Lepisosteus oculatus: one gene and its partner. Each later gene encodes a partner of the first gene's protein in a complex. Links are inferred from orthologs where the notes say so. Each region holds a gene or a part of one and is shown on either strand. Other genes may lie near its edges. The genes, in order: ptpn22 and pstpip1a.

The links.
Region 2: the proteins of ptpn22 (region 1) and pstpip1a are in contact, whole or in part, in a crystal structure (PDB 7AAM), measured with the Homo sapiens proteins. The link is inferred for Lepisosteus oculatus from reciprocal best matches to the Homo sapiens genes PTPN22 and PSTPIP1. Residues at the interface, in NP_057051.4 of Homo sapiens: Ser793, Lys794, Pro795, Gly797, Pro798, Arg799, Asn800, Pro801, Pro802, Trp805, Asn806; in NP_003969.2 of Homo sapiens: Thr225, Arg228, Asn229, Trp232, Asn236, Ser239, Met240, Cys242, Val243, Asp246.

Annotation. Positions count from the first base shown.
Region 1 is NC_090700.1:35,036,793-35,049,630, forward strand, and holds the start of ptpn22 (tyrosine-protein phosphatase non-receptor type 22), read right to left. Parts: upstream 6,556-12,838; 5' UTR 6,431-6,555; coding exon 6,341-6,430; intron 1-6,340. Other genes in the region: uncharacterized protein, read left to right, coding at 11,366-11,399. UniProt on the Homo sapiens protein: Acts as a negative regulator of T-cell receptor (TCR) signaling by direct dephosphorylation of the Src family kinases LCK and FYN, ITAMs of the TCRz/CD3 complex, as well as ZAP70, VAV, VCP and other key signaling molecules.
Region 2 is NC_090700.1:57,240,180-57,253,353, reverse strand, and holds the start of pstpip1a (proline-serine-threonine phosphatase-interacting protein 1a), read left to right. Parts: upstream 1-8,238; 5' UTR 8,239-8,658; coding exon 8,659-8,691; intron 8,692-12,443; coding exon 12,444-12,544; intron 12,545-13,174. Other genes in the region: scaper (S phase cyclin A-associated protein in the endoplasmic reticulum), read right to left, coding at 1,542-1,742; rcn2 (reticulocalbin-2), read left to right, coding at 3,599-3,721, 3,937-4,039, 4,395-4,591, 4,674-4,787, 4,930-5,023, 5,485-5,627, 6,670-6,813. UniProt on the Homo sapiens protein: Involved in regulation of the actin cytoskeleton. May regulate WAS actin-bundling activity. Bridges the interaction between ABL1 and PTPN18 leading to ABL1 dephosphorylation.

The DNA of each region.
Region 1 (12,838 bases):
GGGATCACAGGAGTACTACTGTATATGTACAAAGCTTTGTAATATGTGTTTTAGACATATGAGATTGAGCCACTTCATCAGACCGTGCATGTTACATAAGTCAAAGCCTCTAGACAGTGTTGAACCTGTTCTGTTATGTGCTGAGTTGTGTCTCATTCATAATACTCATTTTTTTATATGGCTGGGCTTTGTGTTTTGGAGCGCTGGGCTACTCAAGCACTGTGGAAATAGTGAGAGTGCTTATCGTGCAGCAGCAATCTTTATAAATAATTTTTAAATGCAAGAGGCTAGATTAAAGATTTGATCATTTTCAACAAATGTGTCCAGCAGTAAAGACTGTTGCTCATTTGAGACACCACTGGTCCAGATCGGTGTAATTTCTTTGGCTCACCTGACATTGATAGCCCAAGTGGCAGTGCAAAGTTATCTTTAATTTGCTGCACAGGTAAATATAATTTGACCTAGACACCTGGGAACTTCCCATGGTGTCAGTTAGAGCTGCATGACTTTTTAAATCAGTGTTTCGTGAGCTGGAGCTCACAGTAAAGCCCTCATCTGTCCTGTACGAAATAAAATCATACTTGCTTAGGTTTGGCTTGTTTTTATGTACTTGATGAGTTGGAAAAACGTATCATACTGAAAGTGTATACAGTACAATGACTTTTACTGGAGTAGGTTGGAAATTACCCATAATGTGGGTGTTTATTTTTTACACAATACTGGTAACCATATTTGAGGCTGAGATTCTGAGACTCTAAGTCTCTGCCAGAAGCGGAACAGATTCTTAGGAAACCACTCATGTACTCTGTATGTAACTAACCTTGAATCTCTACTCGTAACTTTCAGTTTAACTGTGAACTTTAGTTTACTTAAATTGAACAGGAAGCAGTCCAGCTGTGTAATGCTCAGACCCAAATGGCTCCCTTTGCAGGAAGTGAAAGCATGGATCCAGCCAATCAGTTTTGAGTCATGATGAAATTCTGTGACAATCTCCTAACCCAGGCTGTGAGGCTCACAGGATGCTGTATTTGCTACCCTAAGGACCAACAGATAGGCACCCTTTCACTATTGACACAAGCGTTGCACTGTACAGTGCCACCCACTCAACTCTAACACTGAGTAATGTAGACACATGAACAGAAATGACATTTTTTAACCATTTTAGTTAGGTATTTTTAATGTATAGTTAGAAAGACTGAGTCCTGTCTGCTTCTTCAATTTTTTTAGCTTCACAAATCCCCTCCTTGAAGAAGGAGATCCAGCAGATTTTTCACTCTAGCTGGAATCTCTGTTACTTTACCTAACCCTTAATTCAAGTAATGTTCTTAATTACAGCTATGACAGAGCCTTTTTTTGGGAACAAAATTGCCCTTTTATTCTTACAGTTTGATAGATTAATTGAAATTCAGTGTAAGAGCTTAAAACTTCAGATTCAATAATGAAAAGTTTAATACAATTAAAGATTTAATTATTTATCTCTTGGTCCAACATTGGGATCAAAAGAGATTTAAAGCCCTGCTTTAAAGTATCTCTACCTTTAAAAGTTCCTTAATTGGTCCATTAAGGTAATAATTTGCTCATTCTGGTCATGAAAAGTTTCAGTGGAGTGATAATCTGCGGCTGTTGCAGACTGTTGTGAAACCCTGGCATGCTCCAATGTCACACAAATCCAATGTCATACAACCCGAGTCATCTTTGAACCATCTTGAGTGGTTCATAAGGGTCACATCAGGAGAGGAGAAATTACAGCAAAATGTACAGTATTTCAGTCATCATATCATGAAAACATATTTCAGTAGGTGTTCACCCCTCCGCATAATGAATTGTCTGGAGTTCTTCTTGGAGACAAGGGGCGCATTGAGTTTGTGGTCAGGGGGTTTTCTGCGCCTGTGATGGAAATTCTAAGAGGTCGAGCGAGCACTCGTAGCAGAAAGTTTCCACTCCCTCAGCAGCAGAACGGAAATCAGACATGCGGTGACCTAAACCCCTTACTGTTTACCTCACACATACATATTGACGCCTTTGGCCATTTCCCACTAAATTTTCACCTAAACCTTTGCTGACAATTTCATTAGATGCCAAAGCATACACCTAAATCAAGGAGCCGAAAAAAAGGTTAATGGTGGAAAGTAGAAAGAAATGTACCTGAAGATGGTTCAGCAGCCAGAACCTTGCTTTTCATCTATCTGCTGTTCAGCACTGAATTTACTGTACTTGTTCCTTTGCCGCTAATGTACGCTGACACAGCCCCCAGCTCAAACCTTTTCAATTAAAAGTTAATGCTTCTTAATTAGGAATGTCAAACAACCATAAAGAAAGCAAACAAACCTCAAGGATACATTACATATCTGCTTGATATGATTGATTTGCTGTAATTAGACATTAATTAATTATATGAAATGCTTCATTAAGGATAAATGCAGAGTACTGACATAAAAAAATGTCTTTGCATAATTGACGTATTAATGTTTATTTGTTCACGTAGACATGAAGCAGCCACTATGAAAGGTTAAAACTGATAAAAGAATGAGACGATTCAAAGACAGAGCATGTGTTTGTGCAGTTTGGGTGAGTTTCCCTTAGCACTGTCCACCAGCGTGAAGTTCTGCATTTCTTTTAAAAGAACAGTCATGCTACCAGTGATCTTAAAAATAAAGGATGTTTCCTCTTTGCCACAAAGCCAGTGGTGATTTCCCATACTTCTTTGTGCTCTTGTGACTTGGTACTTATGTCAGAAAGTGTCTCTCACAATCTCAAGGCTTGGGGACAGACCCTGTCTGCTTTTATAGTGCATTGTGCTACTTTAGAAAAAGACACATTCTGCTTATGTTTTCTGCTTTCGAGACTGGTGCTCAACAGAGTGAACTGCAACAACAGGGCCTAGATTCAAGCCAAAGTGAGAGCTTTTCATTGGTAGTTCACGCAGTTCCTGCTGATAGAGCTACCAGCTTAATTGTGCATGAGGCAATTTAGGATGGTATTGGGTAGAGTGTGGCAACACTAGTGCTACATTGTATCACATCTTGTTATTCATGTTGACAGGCTCTAAAAACATTCCCACAAGCACTGGTGCAAAAAACAAGAGAAATGTCCCAATCTATTGCGGTGTGTGCATTGTATACTAATTGTATGGTTATGCCAGCCAAACTCTCTGCAGTCTACTAGTTTCTATTTAGAACCCGCACTGAGATACATGAATAAAAAAGAATGAATTGACTTTGAGCCTATAAATTTGAACAGTACAGACAATTAATGTTGCAAAAGTTACAGTGGTACAAGAAATCCTGACATTTTATGTGAAGAAAGAGCATGCACTGTAAAACTGACCAGTCAGACAGACTGTCTGAACCTGGGATCATGCTTTAGGAGTGCCATGATTAATTTGAGAGTCACAATTGCATTTTTAAGCCACGACTGCAACAATGTTTAAAAAATTAAACTGCATCGAAGGCATCACTGAGTGCAAGTCTATCTAAAAATAACCACAAATGAGAGGAAATCATCCAACTCATCAGCTTCTATTTCCTTCTGGTCAATACTGGTTGTACTAGAAACAAAGATCCCCCAAAACAAAATCCTTCCTCGCAGTAACAGTGTGCAATACAGGTCTGTTCCGTGTCACAGCAATCCACAGCCTATCACCATTCAAACCAAAACTGTTTCAGGTATGTACAGTATGTGATAAAAACACATGTTCGCCATTTTGGTTCTTTTAGTGAATATCATTGATAATATCATAAGACCACAGAACCCTGCTGCAAAAGAACCATCAGCACCAGAACAGCACTGTTTAAAGTTGATATTTTAGCATTAAGTCTGTAACAGAGGACGAGAAGGTTAAATGGGTTGTAACGTAGAGCAATAACCAGCAGTTTATTTTTACCATTCAAAGCAATTTGGCTCATCTGCAGCCTCAGAGGTTTCTTGAAAGTAGACCTTTACTCATTAATTCATCATAATGAGAAGAGATGAAGGGTTGTTTAACGAGTTGCGTGCTTACTCAGGCACAGCAGGAATAAAAAGTGTCAGTAAAATGAGTGCAATGGGAATGGAGAGGTACTGGTAAAATGCAGAGATAATGAAATCATAAATAGGAAAAGTGATTATTTAGTCCATTTACATTACTGCCCCCCTCGCACCACCGTTTTTCATGGGTGTCCTAGGGGTAGTAAACATTTCCTTAGTGTGTTATTCCTGCCACGAGGCCTGACTAAAACTGTTCAGTCAAGTGTTATCAATGAGAATAGGCAAACAGAGTGTTACAACATTTAGTTATAAGTGTAAAATTCAAATCAATGGGATGTTGTATTGAAATTGCACACAATTGCACTAGTAATATCTCTGTAGAATTTTGTGTACAATTTTTTAATCATGCTATAAATGCTGCTCTAGGGTAGAGCGACAAGATATATTCCTGGTCTCAAAGGAGAGTACATTGACAGGCTGAAGGAACTGAATCTTTTTAGTCTTGAACAGAGAAGACTATGAGGAACCTGATTTTTAAATAGTCAAAATCAATTAAAGCAACTGTAGCAGTCAACTCAGTGGACTTCACCACTGAAATCTGAACCAACCAATACAAGTGCAAACTATGGCAACTCAGGTCTGTTGTTGAAGCCAATACCCTGCTTTTATTCCAGAAAAGGGTTGATATGATCCCCTGATCAATTAGCCTCTAAATACCAACCTCATAACCTTTCTTACATTTTTACAGTATGTGCTTTAGCTTTAATGGCTTCGTGGGAACAGGCAAGGCTCTTAATAACAGAAGTGTCACATTTAGAGAAGTTCACACTTTAGAAAAACATGTTAAAATACAGAGTACAGAATAAAAATAAAAATAAAAATAAATACAGTATAAAGATCTTTCTGCTTAAGAAAGTTAATATTAGAAGTGTCTAGTTTACTTTAGGTAATGGACGATTCAGAAGCAGTACTGCCTTTAAACATGCAGCACTTAAACAAGAGCTGTGATGAGACCATAACTGTGAGCGGCCTACACTGTTCCATAACAGAGTAAGTAATAACAGAGCTCAGAGTAAGTCTAAAAATCAATGAGAAACTTTTAGTGTTTCTCCAGTGTTTTCATGCTGCTGGTAAATTAGGAAAACACCCACCCTATCAAACACAAACAGACATACAGAAATGGTGTCTTCTTCAAGTTCAAAGTTTATAGGTCGTGTCCACCAGCACAAGGAATTTGGTCCTTTGTCTTACAAAAGGTAGATTTGCAAATTTATGTAGGTGAGAAAAAATACAGTACTCTTTCACATCACCCATGCAGTATTTACAGAGAGAAGTGCCCCAGCAGGGAGAGGAGGCAGACACAGTGCTACATTCTGGCCCAAACGGGACCTCTGGAACAATGTGCTCAGACACCCTGACTGCATTTTAAACTCTCCTATGGATTGTCAGTTTGATTTTAACAGATGAATGTGACCAAAACTTGCAGAAAACAAAAATGCAGATTTGTCTTTTGTTTTTGAGTTCCTGTTTCATTTTGTTTCTGACATGTTATGATGGTCAGACCGGAACATTTTCAAGGAACTCTACAAACACCACATAAGGGGTAAAACCACAACATGGCATAGTATCAGTTATTCTCATACAGGAACAAGCTGTGGAAATATTTAACACTCTAATAATTGAGAAAATTCTTTAACATGAGATATCACTCTTACATGCTCGTGCTGAGTTAGAGGTGATTATAAGTGCATTACTAAATGCCTTTTCTGTCCTGGCCTTACAGACAGCGATACTAACTCCGTCACATCGATCACTTCCTTCCAGCCTTTTAAACAGACGCACTGTAGTGTTTTAAATCAGCTACTCTATTTTACAGGCCTATACTGAGAGAGGTGCTAAAAATGTAGTCATAATATAGTTTATAAACTATACATATAGATATACTATCAATATATAGTGCATAAGTAGAAGAAATTTAACAGACCAGTGCATTCGGTACATTACATGCACATCATGTGTATATCATAATGAACACATTGTTGCTGCTATACATTTACACTCTATATATCTAAGCCGACAGCTATTGTTGACGACCATCATTACCACATCTTACAGTACTTACTATAAAACTTTAAATACTAATAAAAAGAATATGAGAAGATAGAGGAATTGAATTGTTCATAAGGGATTTAAACTTTTTTCTTCCTTAGTGCAGCACTGAAAGAGTCGGCGCTCAGAACTTTTCAGTTTTTGTTTGTAAACTTTCCTTCTGTACTCCTGTGAACTTCAGTTAATTGAGGCAAAGCCCGAGCTTGTTTCATGTGGGCTAAAGGAGATTATAGTATCAAAGTACAGCTTGAAAGAATGAACTCACTAAATATTCGCTGGCAAAGATCTCCTCAGACTGAGCCTCCTTGGTCTGCATCTCGTCCAGGAACTTCCTCAGGATGCTCCTTTGGTCCATGCTGAGTCCCTTTGTCCTCTGGGTGTCCTGCAGCTGGGGTAGGACATGTCAGGACTGGGGGCTCGTGGGACCGGCACACTGACAGCCTCTACTGCCAATGAGCCTGTGGTTAAGAACTGCATGAGCTGTCTTGAAGGAAGCATAGCTAACAGGTTCTGTGGTCAGATTAAAAATATCATCCGTCATGCAGGGTCCTAGAGCCCGTTTCTCTTCTCCCATATTGAGTGTGCGCATGTGCTGTGATGTGTGTGGACAATTAGTGTGCTGTGCTGCGAGAGTCTCCTACAGACGTGCAGTGAAATGACAACAACACAATCACGCTTCAAGACAGGGAATTAGGAAATGTAAAACAAGAAGCGGTGAGGCTGCACAGCCAGTCAGACAGCATTCATCACTCCCAGAATCCAGTTTGAAAGGCTAATCAGTCCCAAGAAGGTATTTCCCATTGGTAAAGAAATTGGTAAGACCCATTTCTCTGTGCCTTCTGTCTTATTGATTCCAGTGAATTTTACAGTATGTGCTCTGCTGAGCTAGCTCTTTTCACCTCTCTGTCTGGATTTGATATGTCTGAAAATGACATATTTGAAAATATTTAATGCCAAGTAACAACGTATGAAGTTAGACATCCCTTTCTGATGATGATGAGACAAACCAAGTCTTAAAAGTACAATTATAGAGTTTACTTGATTTGCAGTCATGACATAAAACGTACTCTTGGCCAACAGGTTTCGAAGAACTGTTCTTTTGTTACCCCTTTTAAAAGGTTTTGCCATGTTAAACAGGAAATTGTGACACTGACGTAAGCATGGTGTTTCAGGAATGCATTCTCCTTTACTGGCATCCTTATCTTTGAATTGTGCAGCTCCTTCTGCAGCCTAGAACAGTGTCAGGTGCTGCAACAGTGAACTCACATGCTTTGTGAATTCATTTTGCTCCCTTTTCAAACAGACTGTCAGCTCAGTGTTGTGATTTAGTGTTTGACTTGCTTTTCTTGTCTGAAAATTTCCAAAGATTCTCAACAGAAGGCTGCTTGTGTGCTATATGGGGCTGTAGGTTGGCTTGTCATAATGCATACATTTTTTAAATAATGTCTACTGGTGTATTGTATGCTTCTGAAAGTGAAACATATTAGCCTTCTAAAAATTAACATTTCACAAGAGATGGAAAATTGTACATTGTATGCATTTGTATATTTCAGTTCTACCACTGATATATTTTCATGGTTGCTGTGATAATGTGGTCAGTGAGAGCACAGTCCATGCGTTTCAAAAAGGATCTTATCAAGTAGAACATAGTGAAGCAAAAGGAGAAATATCTTCTGCCTCTATTTCCTTCCCTATCACATTTCTAAAAGACCTCTGTGTGCATCACTTCTATCCTGAGGTTAAGGAAGTGTAATTTCAGCCTGCCAGTCTATTATAGGGAACTAAGAATGAAGACAAATTGTCTGTTCAAAAATCTAGCTTCTGGCACTTCTCCTGTAGTACTTCAGATGAGTAAATCCAATTTTCATTTATTACATGAATAAAAACCAACCTTACAGTTGTGAGAAAAATGTTTGTGTACCCTTCGGAATCATCTGTATTCCTGTATTAATTACGTGCTCCTAAAGTGCAATCTGTTCTTCAGATAAGTCATAATAATAATTAAATACAATCTGATTAAACAAATAACACATAAACAATTGTGACTTTTTCATGACTACATTGAGCACATTGTTTAAACATTTAGTGTCTATGCTGAAAAAAGTAAAAAGTATGTGAATGTAAGTACAGTATGACCTCAACCAAACATTTCCTGTAGCTGGATCAGTCCTGCTGTAGCTGCTGTTTTGGACCATATGGAAATGGGCATATTTTAGCTGTCTTACAACAGCCACTGTAGAGATTGAGCTATAAGGCACAAAGTATAAAAAATGGTAAATTTGAAAAAATCTGGTTAACTTTTTTCAAAAGGAGTCCCAACAGGCACTTGCTGCTTGTTTGTGCAACAAGTCCACCTTTAATTCCACATTAATCTGCATTATTGCTTTCAATAAAACGATACTGATATTATTTTAATTAAGTCATGAGCACTTCTAGTCAGTTGATTAATGAGCAGGCTTCTGGAAAGTACATGCAGCTTTGATGCCATTACAGCTAGCAGCATTTGATCTAATTACAGTTTGACTGTAATGCTGGTTCTGTGAACATTTTTTCCCATGTCAGAAACGCCCAGTCACTTACGTGAAACTGCATATTTTAAAGCGGTTAAACAATGCATTGAATACCTTAAGAGCAAAACAGAAGCATGACTGGAGCATAAAGATGTTACTGTCTGTCACCATCCCGAAAAACTTCAAATATCTCACAAAATGTCAAATATGTCAGCATTTAAAAAATGAGAGCTCATTCAGAAATGAAAGAAGAGACCAGGTATCACTTATCATTGGACTGATCACTGTTCACTATATCTTTAATACATACATTTGAATGATTCTGGTTTCATGGCACTGTTGGAAGCCTTTTATCTCCTGTCTAAACCACAATAAGCTGTTGGACCTCATGATCACTCTTAGATCTTTGACCATGGAGGCCATGGTTCAGTGGTGCATAGAGAAGAAAGTCAGATGGATCCGTATCATAGATGAGGGCTTTAGTGGATGTTAAAAGAGGTCTGTTCATGTCTCAATGGTAGCTTAAAACACTTTGTGTCATGGGTCTATGGAACACCTTACATGCTGTGTTTTAAAGAGTTAAATACTCTTCCATCAGAAAATTTAGAACAAGCAACAACAACTAGGAGACTGTGGTGACCAGATATGATATCATGCTTTGCTTGATTCTTGCCTAAACTTCAACGGGGGGTCATGATAGATACTGTCATTCAGTGCTCAAATATTATCATTTTTATTATCAGGCAAAGACAAAATTTGGAAGGCATCAGTACTTCACATGGATTCTCTATATGGCTTCTTCATTGATACAATTAGTGGTTTTCATTTTGTAAAGTCAAAAAAAGCCATATACAGTAGTAGAAAGTTTTCTGTCTTTTCCTGCCACTGGTGAACAGTGAACATTGTGTCAGTTCTGGCCTTAGCACACACTGACAATTCTGAAGGGTGTAGCTGATGATCGCCCTGTGATAGACAGAGAAACCTCTGTAATATCCACACGCTCATGGCATCCCAGAAATCATCTCAGATTTTTTTCCTCATTCCAAATCCTGCAGGTGAGGAGGAGGACCAATGATATGAGCTCCACTCCTCGTTGTTGTGCATCTGCCTAAAGGCCTTCTTATGAAGGGCTGGAAGGGCTACAAGCTTATCTCTGTATAAAAATCAGTTGCACAATAGAGTTTTGATTGAAACGTCCAGCCAACATTATCATCTTACCTTCTCTTCATCAGGACCTCCTATGTTCTCAGATCTCACTGGGTTGATCTCCAACAAGTGAGCCACACATTCTGTGGATGTTAGTGAAATGCTGGATCTCTTTCCTGATTCACCTTCCCTTGGCAGATGATAGCCAGAATGATATAATCACAAACTTCTCTGTACTTATACTTAGCGCCAGTGTGCCCTTCAACTGCAAAAAAAAACAACAATCGGTGGTGATCAATAAATTATTACTTAACATGTATTTCTCCGCTGCATGAAAGTTTTGTGTCAGTATTTGCTGTTAAGCGCAATATGAAATTGCAGCTCTGAGTTCTGATAAAGTTGCCTTTTATATTCAAATGGAATCTGCCCTCTAGTGGCAGCTCTGAGAAATCCGGCAAAAGACACTGAAAGGTTTCATACAGTAAAAAAACGAAATCACTGCAGATGCACACTGCTTTCTAGGTTGTGGGTAGCAAATCGAATAGTGACATCATGAAGTGCTCCTTTAATAAAGTCTTTCTATAATGTTTTTTGTTTATGGGGCCCATATTACGAAATTCACAAATACCTTATTCTTTGGTATTTATGGGATTCCGTGTCATTACATGAATGTAATGTATTTTGTTTCCATAGAGGTACTGTATTTGCTACACACTGACATGCAATGTGTTGGACCTGCCCAGACATCTGGTTAAACTGGCCTTTAAATTAAACTTACTGATCAAATCAAATATTTTATTCCTGTAATTCTACAAAGAGGGATGGCATTTCTGAGGTTCAGCGTCATAGTAAGAATGAAGAGTTTTTATTGTATGTTACCTCAACCAGTGGAGCAAGGCTAGACACCAGAAAGATTGCAGCTGCATTTTGCTTCAGTGCCAGGCATGGACAGCTTTCTTATCATGTGAACCTGCATATCTGCAAAATGTGCAATGAACCTTTTTTTTCCATTCACTGTAAGATGTATTTTTTATACTATTCTGTAATAGTTGAGTAAATGAGTAAATGAGTATCTCCTGTGTACACTGCCTCTGTTCTGGTGTACACTGTCTTAGTTTGAACCATCCTATTTATCAATATTAGTATTATTATTTTTAGTAGTAATTGCACTATGTGTATCCTGTCTACAATGTCAGTGTCTTGTTTGTAATTGCATCATGGGCCAGAAGGACCAATATTTAATTCCACTGTAACTTGAACTTGAACTTTTTTTTCTGAAAAAGACAGTTGAAGATGAGATGAAAAACCCCATGTTTCTTCTGACCTCTGGGTGATGAAAAGGGTTTATTACTCTTAAACTGTTTGAAGGTGTTAATTGGTAAGCTATAATCAATAGCTACTGTATAGGGGTGATTTGAAAAACAAAGGCCAAATTTACCAGAGGAATTTTTGAAAATTACCTCATCTATACGATTTCTGCAAAAACATCCATTTCAAAGAAATGGCTCGTAATAAAGGTGACCAGAAAAAACCACAGTGAATATGTTTGCATGCGGCACTTTGACAACAAAACCACAGTCCACTTGAACAGAGCATCCTGTTGTTGTCTGACATGCCCCAGGTAAACTGGCGTGATGAGAGTCCTGTGTTTAATGCTGCTTTTTCAGAGTAAGTACATATTTCTACCAGCCATCAGATTAAGTTTTTAAGAATTTGTACAGAAGAAAAAAAATAAAACTACAAGTGATGTAAAATGATATACTAAGAATTTGTACATATCTGTCTGCCTTTGTCTCTTTATGAGTAGCTCACTGTCTGTTACAGACGTACAGTATCAGGATATTTTGTAATATCTTGTACCAGTAACTTCTGACAATACTGTATAGAGGTTGTGCCCACCATCTCCTGCAGTGTTATTCAATAATTTACTACTGTGGGAAGATCAAATAAGGTACACTAGCCATACAGTATGTCTTAAATTATCTTAATTTACTAGAAATCTTAACTAGAATATCTTATGATCAATTTTACGCTGGATAAATACGTGTCTAGTAAACATTGAACAGATATCATCGTTCGTGAAGCACAGTTTGGGAAATAATTACATCAATAATTAAGGCCAATAGTTACATCTGCTGGCTGTGTGATTGCTTGCCGATGTACAGTATATTAATATTAATAGTAAGAATGATAAATATTTGGATTTACGAATATCCCTAATTATTTCAGTAAAATCGTTTAATTTAGAAAGATTTCATGAAATTCCTGTTTTTGCATTCTTACCGTAAATCTCAGAGATTAATTGACACAATTCTAAATTAAGTGCAGAAAGAATAGATTTGTTTTAAAGTGGAGAGAGAAAGTTAGGGCATTACATTAAATGACTACAGTCCTCACCAGGAGAAGATAACAGAAGATGAACAGATGGATGGTTTAAAAACAGAAAAATTACTTTAACACAATGAAAATAACATATCATCTTATTTTTCAGCTGGATTTTTTAGTTTTTTTGAATGCGGACACTTCAACCAGTCACTTCTTGGTGTTAGGGTGTCAGTATTATAGCATTTTCGGATCATTTTTCATCATAGAATTGTACTAACTCATCTTTTTTTAAAGGCCTGCTTGCTTTCTCCTTTATGGTTAATCTGGAATATTTGAATAGGTTTCAAAACTAAAACCTTTAATTGTTTCTCTTTCTTGAAACATGCAATAGGGATAAAAGGCAAGTACAGGGTTTTTATTTAATTTTTTAGATTTTTGTAACACTGATCCAGACCATGCGGATGAATAGGTGATGAGAATGCGACTTTAGAATGGTTTGACATGGGTGATTTCTAAAATCCAACTGTCAAAACAGTCTTGGTGCATAGCTAACTCTTTTTTTAAAAAAACCTAACTTCCATATCATTGGCACAATACAAACAAGGCATTCCAAAAGAAGTGAAATCTGCCTGCTTTGAAGCTTAGAGCTTTATGACGTGAGGCTGTTTATCCACTGCAGCTACTGGTAAGATTGCCTAAGCAGAAGGAAAGATGAGTTCAGGACAGGGAAACACCAGACCTGCTCTTAAAAGGGAGTGAAAGCCATACTGTCTTAAAATACT
Region 2 (13,174 bases), about 22 Mb from region 1:
ATGTTTTCCAGAGCATTTGAATATTCCAGAATCATGTTCTACTACATTTTATCAGCTGCAAGGCCCCCTGGGCATGTAACCCTTGTGAAAACACTGAACTCTTGTTGAACACCATCAGGTTTTTGTATTGAAAAAAAAAAAGTTATTTCAAATTCATGCTTGGAGTAGGTTACAGGAAGATTACATATTTTTCTCATCTTAAACAACCTTCATGTCCAATTGGAATTCAGCTGAAGTCATTTCATTCGTGACACCAGGTATTTAACTTTGAGGGTTAAGGGTTTTTCATCCTTTAAACCAGGTCGGCATAGAATACAGTGCTCATGCTGTCTACCGAACATCCCGGACTTGCAACTCCGAAACCTTACAACAGAATAACACCAAGAACTAAACTAACGACTAGATAGCCTTAACCTTTTTTTTCTTCTGATCTCACCAACGTCCAACTTCCAAATGAACTATTTTTGGCATAACGTCACTCTCATACTTTGTACAGTACTTCCTATTGAAGGTTTCCACAGGGTAGGTGTTAGTCTATGAAAACGTAATGGCTTTCTAATGACAATTCAGAATGATAGTAATTCATGCGCTCTTAGAAAGCTCCCAGCAGAAAGGTTGTCTCAGTGCCAGGGGAAATCACACTACGGAAATGCAGTGGGAAAGACTGACACATTTAATCGTGGACGTCAGGTTTTGCTGTTGCTGTTGAGAAAACGTTACCAGCATCGCCTTTGCCCAACTTCAACCTCCAGTCCCAGTTGCTCTGCGAAGTGAACGCAAAGGGAGGAGGAAAACGTTCAAATGTAGGTAACATTCAAGTTCAAAGACACATGTAGGCATTTTATCAATGAATTGCTTTACAAAATAAGTCAACATTGTGGTAAATGTGGTAAATTAAGTGAATGTTTTTCTTCAGTGCTGCGTTCCACTTCAACATTGTTTCATTATTCAGTCAACAACGCCAACTGTCCCGAAAACTGCTACTACTGTGTGGGAGGGGGGCCTGTCAATATTTCACCTAAAACCCTGAGCTTCTGCCCGGTCATTGTTAATGTGTCCCCGAATTCACTCCTTCCCGGCGTCATTCCCATTTATAGTCCTTCATGACATTCGTACTGTAAGGCGAGTGCACGCTTTTGCAAGAAGAGAAGGGCGTATAGAAAATGAGTTGGAGGTTCGCTTTTTAAAACAAAAAGAATCAGACCCTGGTTAGCCTTGTGATGTGATGCCGTGCAACAAAACCGCTAGATGAAAATACGGGATCATCAGAAATCTGTAGGATCCAAAGGACAACTCCACAAAGTCGCTCCCGGTCTCCTCTCTCCTGAACAGCTCAAATATAATCACCCTTATTTAAACACGCATGCTTTACCTTTGCTAACTAAAACATAGCAGGTGCACACATTTTTAATTTGTCTTTAAAAGGGGAAAACGCGTATGGGGGCAGTACATGAGGCCAGCATTATACAGACTACTGTATACCGAGTCATATCAACGTGATCAAGCAAATATCTGCAAACTCAACCAACGGGAGGCTTTACCTTCAGGGCGAGGTTGATGGGAGTGTTCCTGCCTTTGCCTCCTCCATGCGATGATCCCGAGCTGTTGCTCCCCGATCTCTCCCTCCCATCCCCGCCTGGGCCCGCTCTCTTCCCCGCTCTCTCCCTGCCATCAAGCGCCGGGCCGAGCCGGTGCTGGCCAGCTCCACGCCGCCTGCCTTCGCTGCGGCAGTCCTTAGACATTGGGCAGGCGACGAAGCTTTTCTTTGTGATTTCTGATCAGGACGCCGATAAGATTTGCGCCTTAATGTGATGAGCTGCAAACCAGTGGCAAGAAAAAAAAACTACACAAGGCACAGCTGACAGCTCCTAGACAACCTAAAAAGAAGCAGGAAAGATTCTGACGCTTCGGTGACAGGCACAAAGATTAACCAATGATTTATAAGCTTTAGACAACAGGGCGGGTATAAGACGTAAGACAGCCAATCAGACATAAGAATAATGAGGTCAAAGGCTGTTAGGGTAGGTAGAACCGTGGCAACCAGGTAACCGAGGGAGGTACTACGTAATATGCATTTTGATTGGTTGATTTACGCAGCAACACAAACAATGTAAACAAAAACTGTTCTCGACTGTGAAGGTATTTTTCGGAGAGAAGTATTTGCCTACTAATCTAAATCGATGTGAACTAGACATGGTTGAGTAAGAATTATTCCACAGCGATCAGAGGATCATTCAGTATTAGAAATCAAGTGTACTGAACCGTAACGTTAGAACTTTAGAAATAAACTGTAATTATTTATTATTCGCGTTATCTCGAATACATTTGCAAAGGAGCATATAAAACGGATTTTTAAAAAGTCATAAAACATCGTTTTAGCATTGAACGTTGAAGATTTTACCACCGATAACTGAATATTAAAAAAACACTCCACTTTTTGTTTTATTTACACCGTTGAAATGGGAAATATCGCTGCAGTAATCCCATAGGCAGCTGTTAGAAAAATAAAATGGAGAAAATACATTTTTTCCTGGCTTCGTCAGGTACAGCTCTTAGAAAAAAAAATTGCATTGTTGTATTTCAATGAAAACAAAGAAAACGACTCTTTCTCATCGGAAGTGACGCCAGGGGTGTCGGACCCATAAAAAGTGGGGTGTCCGCTTGGGTACTTTTGTTCAAGTTCATGGTCAAATGTGGGAGACGTTGGCACGTAAGGTAACTATCTACAAGTACAGGGGTTTGTGCAGTCAACGTTGGAGCTGTGTTCTCGGCGAAGTTCTCTGTGTGCTTGGGAGGTTAGGACATCTCTAAGCCCTGACTAGCTACATTAATGACAACAGGCTGTGAGCTTGCTCCCACCGCTGCGCTGAAGTTTCGTGGAAAAAGACCATCGGTTTCCAAAGACAAACCGTGGCATCGCATCGGCTGTCACCGATTAGTTCGTTTAGTGCAAGGTTTGCAAACTAACGGTGACATTTAAATATCGTTAATCGATTAATGTCGACACAGCTTCGTAAATGCCCTGAGCTAAAGCAGACGTTAAGAAGATTGTAACAATCTCTGGTTGTCTTTATTTGTAGATGTCCAAGTTGGACTTTAGTCTTACTGCCTCTAGGGGATTTTGGAATGCTCTAATGGATTTTAATGACTTAATAGAAAGCACCAGAATCACAAACCATTTTAAATACCGAATCACGACAATTTTGATTTTATTCTCATTTATAAGGTGCGCATAGGTTCATTTAAATGTTGAAAATATTTTCTGCCTACTACAGCTGATCTTGTTTAGACCAGCTCTGCAGGATGCTGAAGTCTGCGCCTAAACCGATAACAAGTAGCCTAACGATGCATGCGTTGTATAGGAGTGACACGCTTAAACTGAGCGATAGGTTTAGTTTCAAGATTAAACGTATTGGTTACAATATATTCGTGCGCTTGATCTGTTTTGAGGATCCTCAATTGAACTGACCGACTTCTTACTTGTCCCTGAGCTGAAATTCCACCAGGTGGCACCCAAGTCCTGGGAGTGTTGAGCTTTGCTTATAAGGGGTTTTTGCTTTCAAATCTTGCAGATCTTACATTCCAGTTCTTATAGAGGATGAAGCGCATTATCTTGACTTGGGCGCTGTTTGCACTCTGTTCGTGCGCCTCTGAAAACAAGGCCAGCACCTTCAATGCTGAGGATCCTGAGTATGACGGGAGCATCTTCTTCAGAAATGAGGTAAATGGATTGAGTCTCCATTTTGTATCCCATTCAGGGATTATTTTGGAATGATTTAACATTTTCTTTTAGATATGATGGATATTTGGTGCGGTTCTTGTACATCACTATTGGATCAACGCATTTGATTCCAAGGTTAATTCTAGTGGCAACATTTTGGGGGGGTTTCCCTTTCAAGTGCTTTCTCACATTTCACACTGTTTTGTAACCCTGAGGACCAAGATGAGATCGAGAAGCTCAGTCCAGAGGAACAAAAACGGAGGCTGGCAGTAATTGTGAAGAAGATTGACACAGATTTGGATGGCTTTCTAACTGAAGGTTGGTCCACTCCCAATGCATCGTGCATGTAAAAGTGAATATCTGCATCCAATATTATTTGTGTGAACCCATATATTCTCTCCATGGCTGCATGGTGTCTAGGATAATTGGCATCTCTAAACTGGCCCCTGTGCGAGTGTGTCTTGCAATAGGCTGTCAGTTGTCTGCTTTGTTAGGCTCCAGATCACAATAATCTCATGTGTCCCTCTCTAAACTAAGCAGTCACTGAAATTGAATGGATCTGTGGGCTGGTGCATTCGATTTTGAAGTCTCCCTTGTCATGATAAATTGAAATAAATCACATGGCTGTTTTAAACCCCTCCAAATTGTGACCCTTTTTTCCCCACTTCCCCAGGCGAGATCAGTTTATGGATACAGCAGGTGTATAGACGATATGCTGTAGAAGATGTGGCAGAGAAGTTCTTGGAATTTGATAAAGATGGTGATGGGGCTGTATCTTGGAATGAATACACCCTGCTGGTACATGATCGCATCATTGACATGGACGAGGATAAGGTGCCAGAGAACTCTGAAGAAAAATCTCTTCACTTCGTAGGTTCCGTTTTTTTCTTCAACTTTTGCGTGCTTTGGCTTGGGGAAGTCATGTGATGTTGTCTGATTTTTGTCCCCTTAGTTGCACTTGAAGGAAAAGCAGCGCTTTGATCATGCCAATACAGATGGGAAACCCGGTTTGAATGTAACAGAGGTGCTTGCTTTTTTGCATCCATCAGAAGTGGACCATATGTCCGTAAGTTTATACTAATTACATACAATATGTATTTCTGTATCCGTTCGCACAATACAATTCCAAACATGTGTGACTCGTGGGAAATGTCTGTAAGGTACTGCCCACATCCATTTGCTTGATTTGGACACTTGTTCAATTGTAGAAGTATGCCATCGAGGACGTGTTGAATGAATACGATCGAGACAACGATGGGTTTATCAGTCTGCATGAATTTCTAGGGGATCTTCGAAGTCCAGGTAAGTTATAACCTTATGCATAAACTTAAAGCTTAGTTTCCTCCATGTCAGGTGCTCTAGTTTAGCTACTGCCCATCAGCTGGGTACAGTGCCTTGCAAAAGCATGCAGATCCTTGATGCAAGTTTTCAAATGTTGCTGGATTACAAATGATACTTGCACATCTTTCCAGTCAGGACTGTTATTGCAGGCTCACATGCTTGAACAGAAAAGGGCACTGCAATGGCTCAAGTCAGAATATCCCCACTGAGCAAAAGCCACAAACTAAATCCTCTGGAAAGCAGAAGTAAATTGTAAAGAAAGGAGATGAAAGTTCATGATATTCTGGTTTGTTTCACTGTGACGGTAACCACAAGTGTTTTAGACCAAGTTAAGCGGGCAACTTTGAGCCCGCAGCTGTCCTTTGCTGTGTGTTGGAGTTCTAATTGTGGTCTTGTGGATCTGTGTGTGTGTTGGATCAAAGATGGAGTAAATCAATCGCAGTGGGAAATTGAGGAGAAACTGCGTTTTGTGAACCTCTACGACCGGGACAACGATGGCAAACTGAACTATGAGGAGCAGCTGCTGTGGGTGGCACCCAATAGTTACGGCACAGCAAGGGAGGAGGTGAGGCAGCCCTCTCAGTTCAATAAAAGACCTCCTGCTGCAGTGCTGCAGCTTCTCGCACTCTAGGATCTTGATGTTTGAAGAATTCATGCATGCTTGCAGCAGAAATACAGTTAAGGATTTCTCTAGCTTGTCACAATCGTCAGATTTAGTATTATATTTAATTTGGTGGTTGTTACTAAAATTTGCAACTGGCAGAGCAGTTATAATAAGTCACGAATGTCTCTGTTAAAACAACATCCTAGACTTGGAGTATGACCGTGATATGAGTGCAGTCCACTGAGCAGCAGAGCCAACATTCCAGGGAAAAAAGCACAAAAAAAGTTTTCTGTGCAGATTGGCAGCTTGTCACATGTATTCTTTTCAGAACAACTGTATCATTATATCTGTTTGCAAGTTGAGGTTCTGTAATTCATTTCAGTCTTTTTCAAGAGCTAGTGCTGAAACATGTTTACATGTTTGGAAACTGCATTAATCTAAATTACTCTCCAGAATGTAAATTCAGGGTGATCAAATCTTTAAAGAATTCTGGGATAATTGAATATACATGTCATGAAATATTAAGTATTATTTTAGAAAGTGTATATGAGTCCTTTAAACTCTGATTCCATTTTCTTAGTATTGTCTAAGAATGGTGTGCAGGGTCTGGTTGACCTGAGTGCACTTTGTTAATTAAAGACTTTCACAGTAACAACATAACTAACACGACACCGTTAACTTGATATGTTGATGGAGAATAAACTGTGTAGGAGTTGCTGAATTCAGTTAACTGAATTTAAACCCAGCATCCCTGTTTAAAATAGGAGTGGAGACTAAAGGGATTAACAGTTTGCTCTGCATTTCTATTATTGCACATATCAAATGCTTGTTAATGTTAGTTCAATAAGAATTTATATTATTTTATTACAGTTCAGGGATGGTCAGAATGTTTGGCACATCTAGAATCCTAATTTCATTTGTGATCAGCAGGGATGATTTTAACAAGGTCGTTTCACAGCTGTTTTGGATGGCAGTTAAATGCATTTTTTTAAAAAAAAAACAGGCTCTCCACCTGATCCAGGAGATGGACCGGAATGGGGATGGCAGGTTATCGGAAATGGAGATCATGAGCAACATGCAGACATTCATGGACAGCGAAGTGACCGACTACGGCAGGCAGCTCCATTCTGTGCATGATGAACTTTAGTTTCAAATTTTATTTTTTTATAAATAAAAATGCACTGTTTTTCCCCACTATAGTGTTAATTATTTTGTGTTGTGGAAGCCCAGGTGTCTACATCATGAGCTGTAAACAAGAAAGTAGGCACATCTTTTCCAGCCTGTGCACACTGACATGTGCTGGTTGTCCAGTCGTGTACAGTGTGTTTTTTTAAAAACTGAAATTAAGAACTGTTCTGCTCAAATATGGGGCAGAGTGGTGGCTCTGTGTGGCTAAGGGTCTTTACCTGTGGCCTGAAGGTTGCTGGTTCAAATCCTGTATCTGGCAGAGGAATCCTCCTCCGTTGGACCGTTGAGAAAGGCCCTTAACCCCAACTGCTCCAGGGGCGCTGTACAATGGCTGACCCTTTGCTCTGATCCCAAACGTCTCTCCCTGTCTGTGTCTCATGGAGAGCAAGCTGGGGTATGCGAAAAGATGAATTCCTTATGCAAGAAAGTGTATATGGCTACTAAAGTAAAGTGATCTTATCTTAAAAAAAAACACGGAAAAGTGTGAGGTCTAATATTTATAAAGTGGACTTCTTTTCAGTGAAGTTTTTATGCTCCTAAATAAATGGAAACTACAGGAAGATAGTTTATAAGTTTTTTTTAGCATGTTTGTTTTACGTTTGCCAGGACTTGATTCTTTGCAATTATTATTTTTAATTGATCAATGTAATGATGTCATATGAGTTATTAAACTTATCCTTTTGCTCTTCATGATACAATCAATATCACTGATATTGGGGGAATACTGGTAGATTAACTGTGCCTTACCCACCTCAGCTAATGTTACAAAACAGCTGTCAGTTCTAGGCTTGTTGGAAAGGTGTCAAAATAAGAAATGAGTAATACACAGCATTACTCAATTCTCGCCCCAGAACATGAATTTCCGCAAAGAGTACCTAACCAGAGACCACGTTGCATCATTATGCTTTTTGTTTTTTCTATACTTGCTCATACTGTACATGGACACCTAGAAAAGATACAGTGAAGATCCCAGGAAAGTTTTTTATAATGCACTTTCAAAGAGGAAAAAATAAGTATTCAGAGCAAAGAATTTTGGGAACCCCTGTAGTAGTTTGCCTAGCTATCTAAATTTTTTGGTAGGGCAATTGATTGACTTAAGAAATCATAACGAATTGCTGTAGGCAGGGGTGCAGAAAGGTTTTGAACACTGCTTGCCAATTAGAATGTAAATGAAAGGTTTAAAAAAAGAAACTATTTTTAGAAATATTTGATCAATTTCTCAGGTTTTAAATGCTTCACACCATGTCCACAACACTTTGTACCGTGCTGTACGGAAGGAAACAAAAGGATATTACAACCTATCGGCAGGGGTGTCATAATTGACACCATAACTGCTGTGACTTGTTTCTGCGTTTTGCAAGCCTTTCCTGGTAACGACTTGCACAATCAACTGCACAGCTCAAAACATGTTTAGCTTCTGTGTTGTAAAAGTGTTCAATCCTTTACCTTTTTTTAACAAATACACACATTTTCCCAGCACAATTTCAGCACAGAAGTCCTAGCTGCTGTAGCATTCAAATAACAATGCTTCGGTTTTATTTGCTGTCTCTCAAGCACCCTTCTGTGGTCAATGACATCATTTGACAGTTTCTTCCTCATTTCAGTTTAACCAGTGTACCACAAGCAGTGTAGTGTTAGAGGGGTTTTGTCTTTTTTTGTGACCATCTACCTACTAAGGAGTGAGTTTACCTTTCTGCCTCAAGCACAGGGAGTAATAAGAGGGGTTTGGATTTTTCTTTTTGGACTTCAAACTTCACGTTTTGAAATTACTGTGCTGATAGAAGAAGGATTTTCTCCTGACAGGATGACACAGCTGCAATTCAAAGATGCTTTTTGGGTAAGCGATTTCACTTTTGTTCAAGTGTTCAAGCGATTGGGGTTATGTGATAACTTAACAAAGAAGGGCTGAACAAAGAAAATACGCTTCAAAAACAACCATTGGACACAAGTCCAATAAAAAATCATTGATATTTGATGATATTAAATTCTGTTTTATTTTAATAGATTATGTTTTGAAATCTCATGCTTTCTGTGTTCTGTCTGCTCAAATGTTTCATAGGTTTCTTTAAAGTTAATGGTAAATGGTTAAGCATCCAGACTAGGGAGTGACCGTTGCTTTTAAGAACAACGAATCCTGCCTGCATTGTTAACAAATATGTACAATTTGATGAAAAACGTGTTTACAAAAAATTCAAAAACAATTAAGATAATACATAAAATCATATTTTCATTTAAAGTTTCTACAATGCTAAAATACAGCAAATATAACAATATAACCTCAACTCCCCAAAATATACTAGTATACACTCCTGTCCTATTCACTGGATAATACAATTTCAAAGGAGCTTACTGACTTTTAATTACACAATTCCTATTCTCTGAACTCAACGGTATTTGAAATGTTCTGTGTGAAATGTCCTTTAGCCTGCTGCTATGTTACAATACTAATATCTGGAAAGTCAGTACTTCCTCCTAAAACCTTTCTATGGAAGAGGCGGAATTGAACCTGAATGTGGTCTTAACTTTCCCTACTTCTCTGGATGTAAATTTAATGCAAACTCTGTATATGGGGTTAGATTTTCAAGAGTTCCAATGTTAGTAGTGTGGGATGCATATTAATTGGAGATATAAAATAAAAGTATTATTTTACTTTTAGGGCACAAGCTTATATTAACTCCATGGATGGAAAAGAAATGTGAAGGATCACATTCAAAAGATCATGCTCACAAAGCTCTGTCTTTCTCGTTTGAAGGCAATTGTAAAATAATTTTGGTGCCTCTCTTAAAATTGCTTGATTCCCCTCCCAAAAATAGAATAGTAACTACAAGAAAATCCATTCCTGAGTATACAATTGTCTTTTAGTGTGGGTGTGATTTTGATTTGGATTTTGGGTGTAATTATCAAAACCAACCCTCATTAGTTAGTCTAGCGATGAGTCTGATGCAAATGTTTCTTTTGGGCTAAACAGATTAATTGTAGCAGGGAAATGCTGCTTTTATAATGTGTATAAGGCCTTGAACAGCAAGCTAGAGGAGCAAGGGAGTGCTTTAAGGAAATGGTTTTAATACCAGCATTATCAGGGACCCCTTCTATGTACTTGGTCATTATTTGAAGCGGTCTGTGTGCAGTTACTTAGACTCACATTTCCTGTATATGGCGGTTTGGCATTAAGCATGCTGGATTTTTTTTTCTTTCTCTTTGAACTTTCCTTTTAAACCATTGTCAGAGCGTTCATCTAAAAAGCAACAGTCACACTTCTGGGTTCATTTGCATCAGTGCTTTCGTGCAGTACAGCTGCCCCCCGTGTTTCTTTGTGAAATGGAAGTGTGTGGCTGATGCACAAAGAATCCTAAGTGTGAAAAGTAAAAAAAAAAAAACTTTTTTTTTACTTGTATTGGCAATGCAAAGCTTTTTTGATAATAACATTAAAGACTGGACAGGGAGAGTATAGAACTAGTGAGGAGAAGAGCTTTGGGTTTTCATATACTACTGAAAGCTTGTTTAATAATGAAACAGAAATTCTGCTACCTAGTTACTGGAGAGGGACAGATTCACGTCTAGCTTCTGCTTTTTTTAATACACTAAACTATGTCCATAAAAGGATTTTTTTTTGGTTAAAAAAATACTCTAGTCTAGAACAACAAGTGCTTTTCTAAAAGGATACATTTTTAGGGAAAAACTAAAGCAAACACTCCTAATAACCACCAATATGAAACCGTTTTTTTCTGATAGACGGCCTGGTCATTTCAGGGTCTGGGTGGGACATTGCTTCTTTATAGCTCACAACAGCCCCCACCCTGCTGGGAGTGGGCTGGCCTCCTCTCTAAACCCGAATGTGCCAGGCCAGCAGATACAGTACTTCTTGGGTCCTGGGGCAAAGCCCTCACACCATTTTCAACCCCCACCCCTCTGCTGTCCTGTGGGTGGCACTAGGATAATCAAAGAAGAAAGAAAATAATCCTGAAGCTTTGTCATTTGCATCAATCCTTTTTCAAAGCCAAAAGCAGGTCTTAACAGAAGAGGAAATGTGACGAGAGGGGATTCTGTTGTAGTAGAAGTGCGTTAGGTTAAAGCGTTTCAAAACTCAAAACAGTATTCTATAGAGGAACAGTCAGTGTAACATTCTGGTAGGATTAAAGCAATTCTGTCCATCTAAGTGTTACGCCGGGCCCAACAAGGTGTTGAAACAGGCTCGGCAAAAATTAGAGTCAATGAGCCAAGATATGCAGCAATCAAGATAATTTATTCGATAACAGTGCTGAAGAGGACCAACAGAGCTGAGACTGAGGAAACAGCTTAGGCAGTAGCTGCACAGATGAATCAGGCAGAGCAGAGACTGAGGACTACTGAGAAATACTGCTGAGAACCTGAAACTGAGACAAACTCAAGACAGAGTTAGTGACTCAATGTCTGAACCCTGAGGAATGAGTCCTCAGGGCTTAAATACTGTGCGAGGTTCCCTAATTGGCCTGATAGGCCCGGCCTGATCTCGTTGAGGAAGGCCCCAGTGAGTCTCCAGCATGTGCGGATTGCGCATTGGCAATTGGTGGAGCTGATGCGGCAGTGCTGGAGCTCGTTGGGGCATAACACTAAGTATTTACGTTTACATTTGGATAATGCTTATCTGCAAAGCCACAATTAATATGCATGGAAATTATGTTATATTATAATTATATGTAGAAGAACAGCAAGACACACCAGGGTTATACTAATGGTATACAAAAAGCACCATCAATTGCACTGTATTACATTTTTGAATTATCAGCTTATTTCTGAAAGTACGAGTGAAACAGTCCTCAGATGCATAAATAGAACTGATAAAGAGAGCAAACATTTCTGTCTCCATCACAACACGCCAGAACAAGGCATGGTTTGCAGGAGTTTTTTTTGCCAAAATTGCTGTAGGCAGGCACACAAAAAGTATTTAATTGCTGTTTAACAATTTAAGTGTAAGTGAAAGGTATAAAAAAGAAAACTGTATTTTCAAGGAGGCAAATGGCCTGAAAACGTAACTATTAGGCTTGATTGTTAATTAGTTATTTTTACCATGTCTGACTGGCCTGGTCTTGCACGCATGCATATGAGGAAGTTAATCTTTAAGTGAAAAAACAAATTAAAAAAAAAAAGAGTTCCTTCTCCATGTCCAGTAATATCACTGAGCAGATTGCACAACACAACTTCGGGAGAAGGTATGTTCCTAAATTCTTGTCATCCGGATATTGTATGTTGTGCAGAATACTGGAGATGCGAAAATAAAATAATCCTGTCAGAGATTGGTATAGGACAAGTCAGCAAATTAGGAAGTAATTAAGATAGCACCTGAACTAACCTTTTCTCAGTTCTTTTCTGGTTCTCTGTGTGTTTTCAGCGCTTGTGGTTCTTCGTTATTGTGATTTTCTTCCACTTCTTAGAGTGGACGTTTTGACCAGTAATGCCAGCACCTGTTGTTTTTGCTTTGCATTTTATTTGCCTGACTGCCATTAGAAACAGAGCCCAAAGCAAGGTTCTGGCTCTGTATATGACAACACTTTTAGAGTTCTTTCCTGTTTTGGGGTAAGACTGTACTGTCACGATGTGCTTCTGCTGCAGGGCCAAGATTTCACCAATAACTCCGGTTATGAGGCTCTGCTACAAAGGCTGTATGATGGCCGGCGAATGTGCAAGGACATGGAAGATCTTCTGAAGATGAGGTAAGCACTGCCTGTGGACTTCTTGATATTTGCCCTTTTAGTGGATGGGAAAAGCAAGTGGCGTTGAGCATTGAGTGTGTCGTGAACATCACTGAACAGCTGGATGAGACTCTGGGATCACATAGCTCCTAGCAACCAATATCGAGGCAGAAGGATGGCCTTCCCTCATTTCTAATCTTTCTTATGTACACCTTGACATCTCAACTACTCTGGTTACATTAGTCTTCCCCGAAGTGTGGAGAACAGGGAGGTTCAGTTGCATACTGTGGAAGACACCAATTGCGAAACTGGTGCTTGGACCAGAGTCTAAACTAAACATTTCCTTAAGTAGCAGGTCACTGGAATGCAAGAACATCAAGTATGAGTAACTGTCACAGTGAGCTAGTCAGGTGGATAATTATTTTTGTCTGTTTAACAGTATGCTGGCTACTGCACGTGCAATGCCTCTCATTGTATGAAACAACTTTTTAAATGAATATTGTTATGAAAATGGTTGAAATCAGCAATTGACCGTGCGGTTAACTCATTAAGTAAAATAAATATTGATAACCCCCAGCTTGTAAGTGATTTCTCCAGAATATACCCAAAGTAGTTGGTATAATTAGAGGCACGTGAATCTTTTATTTTTTG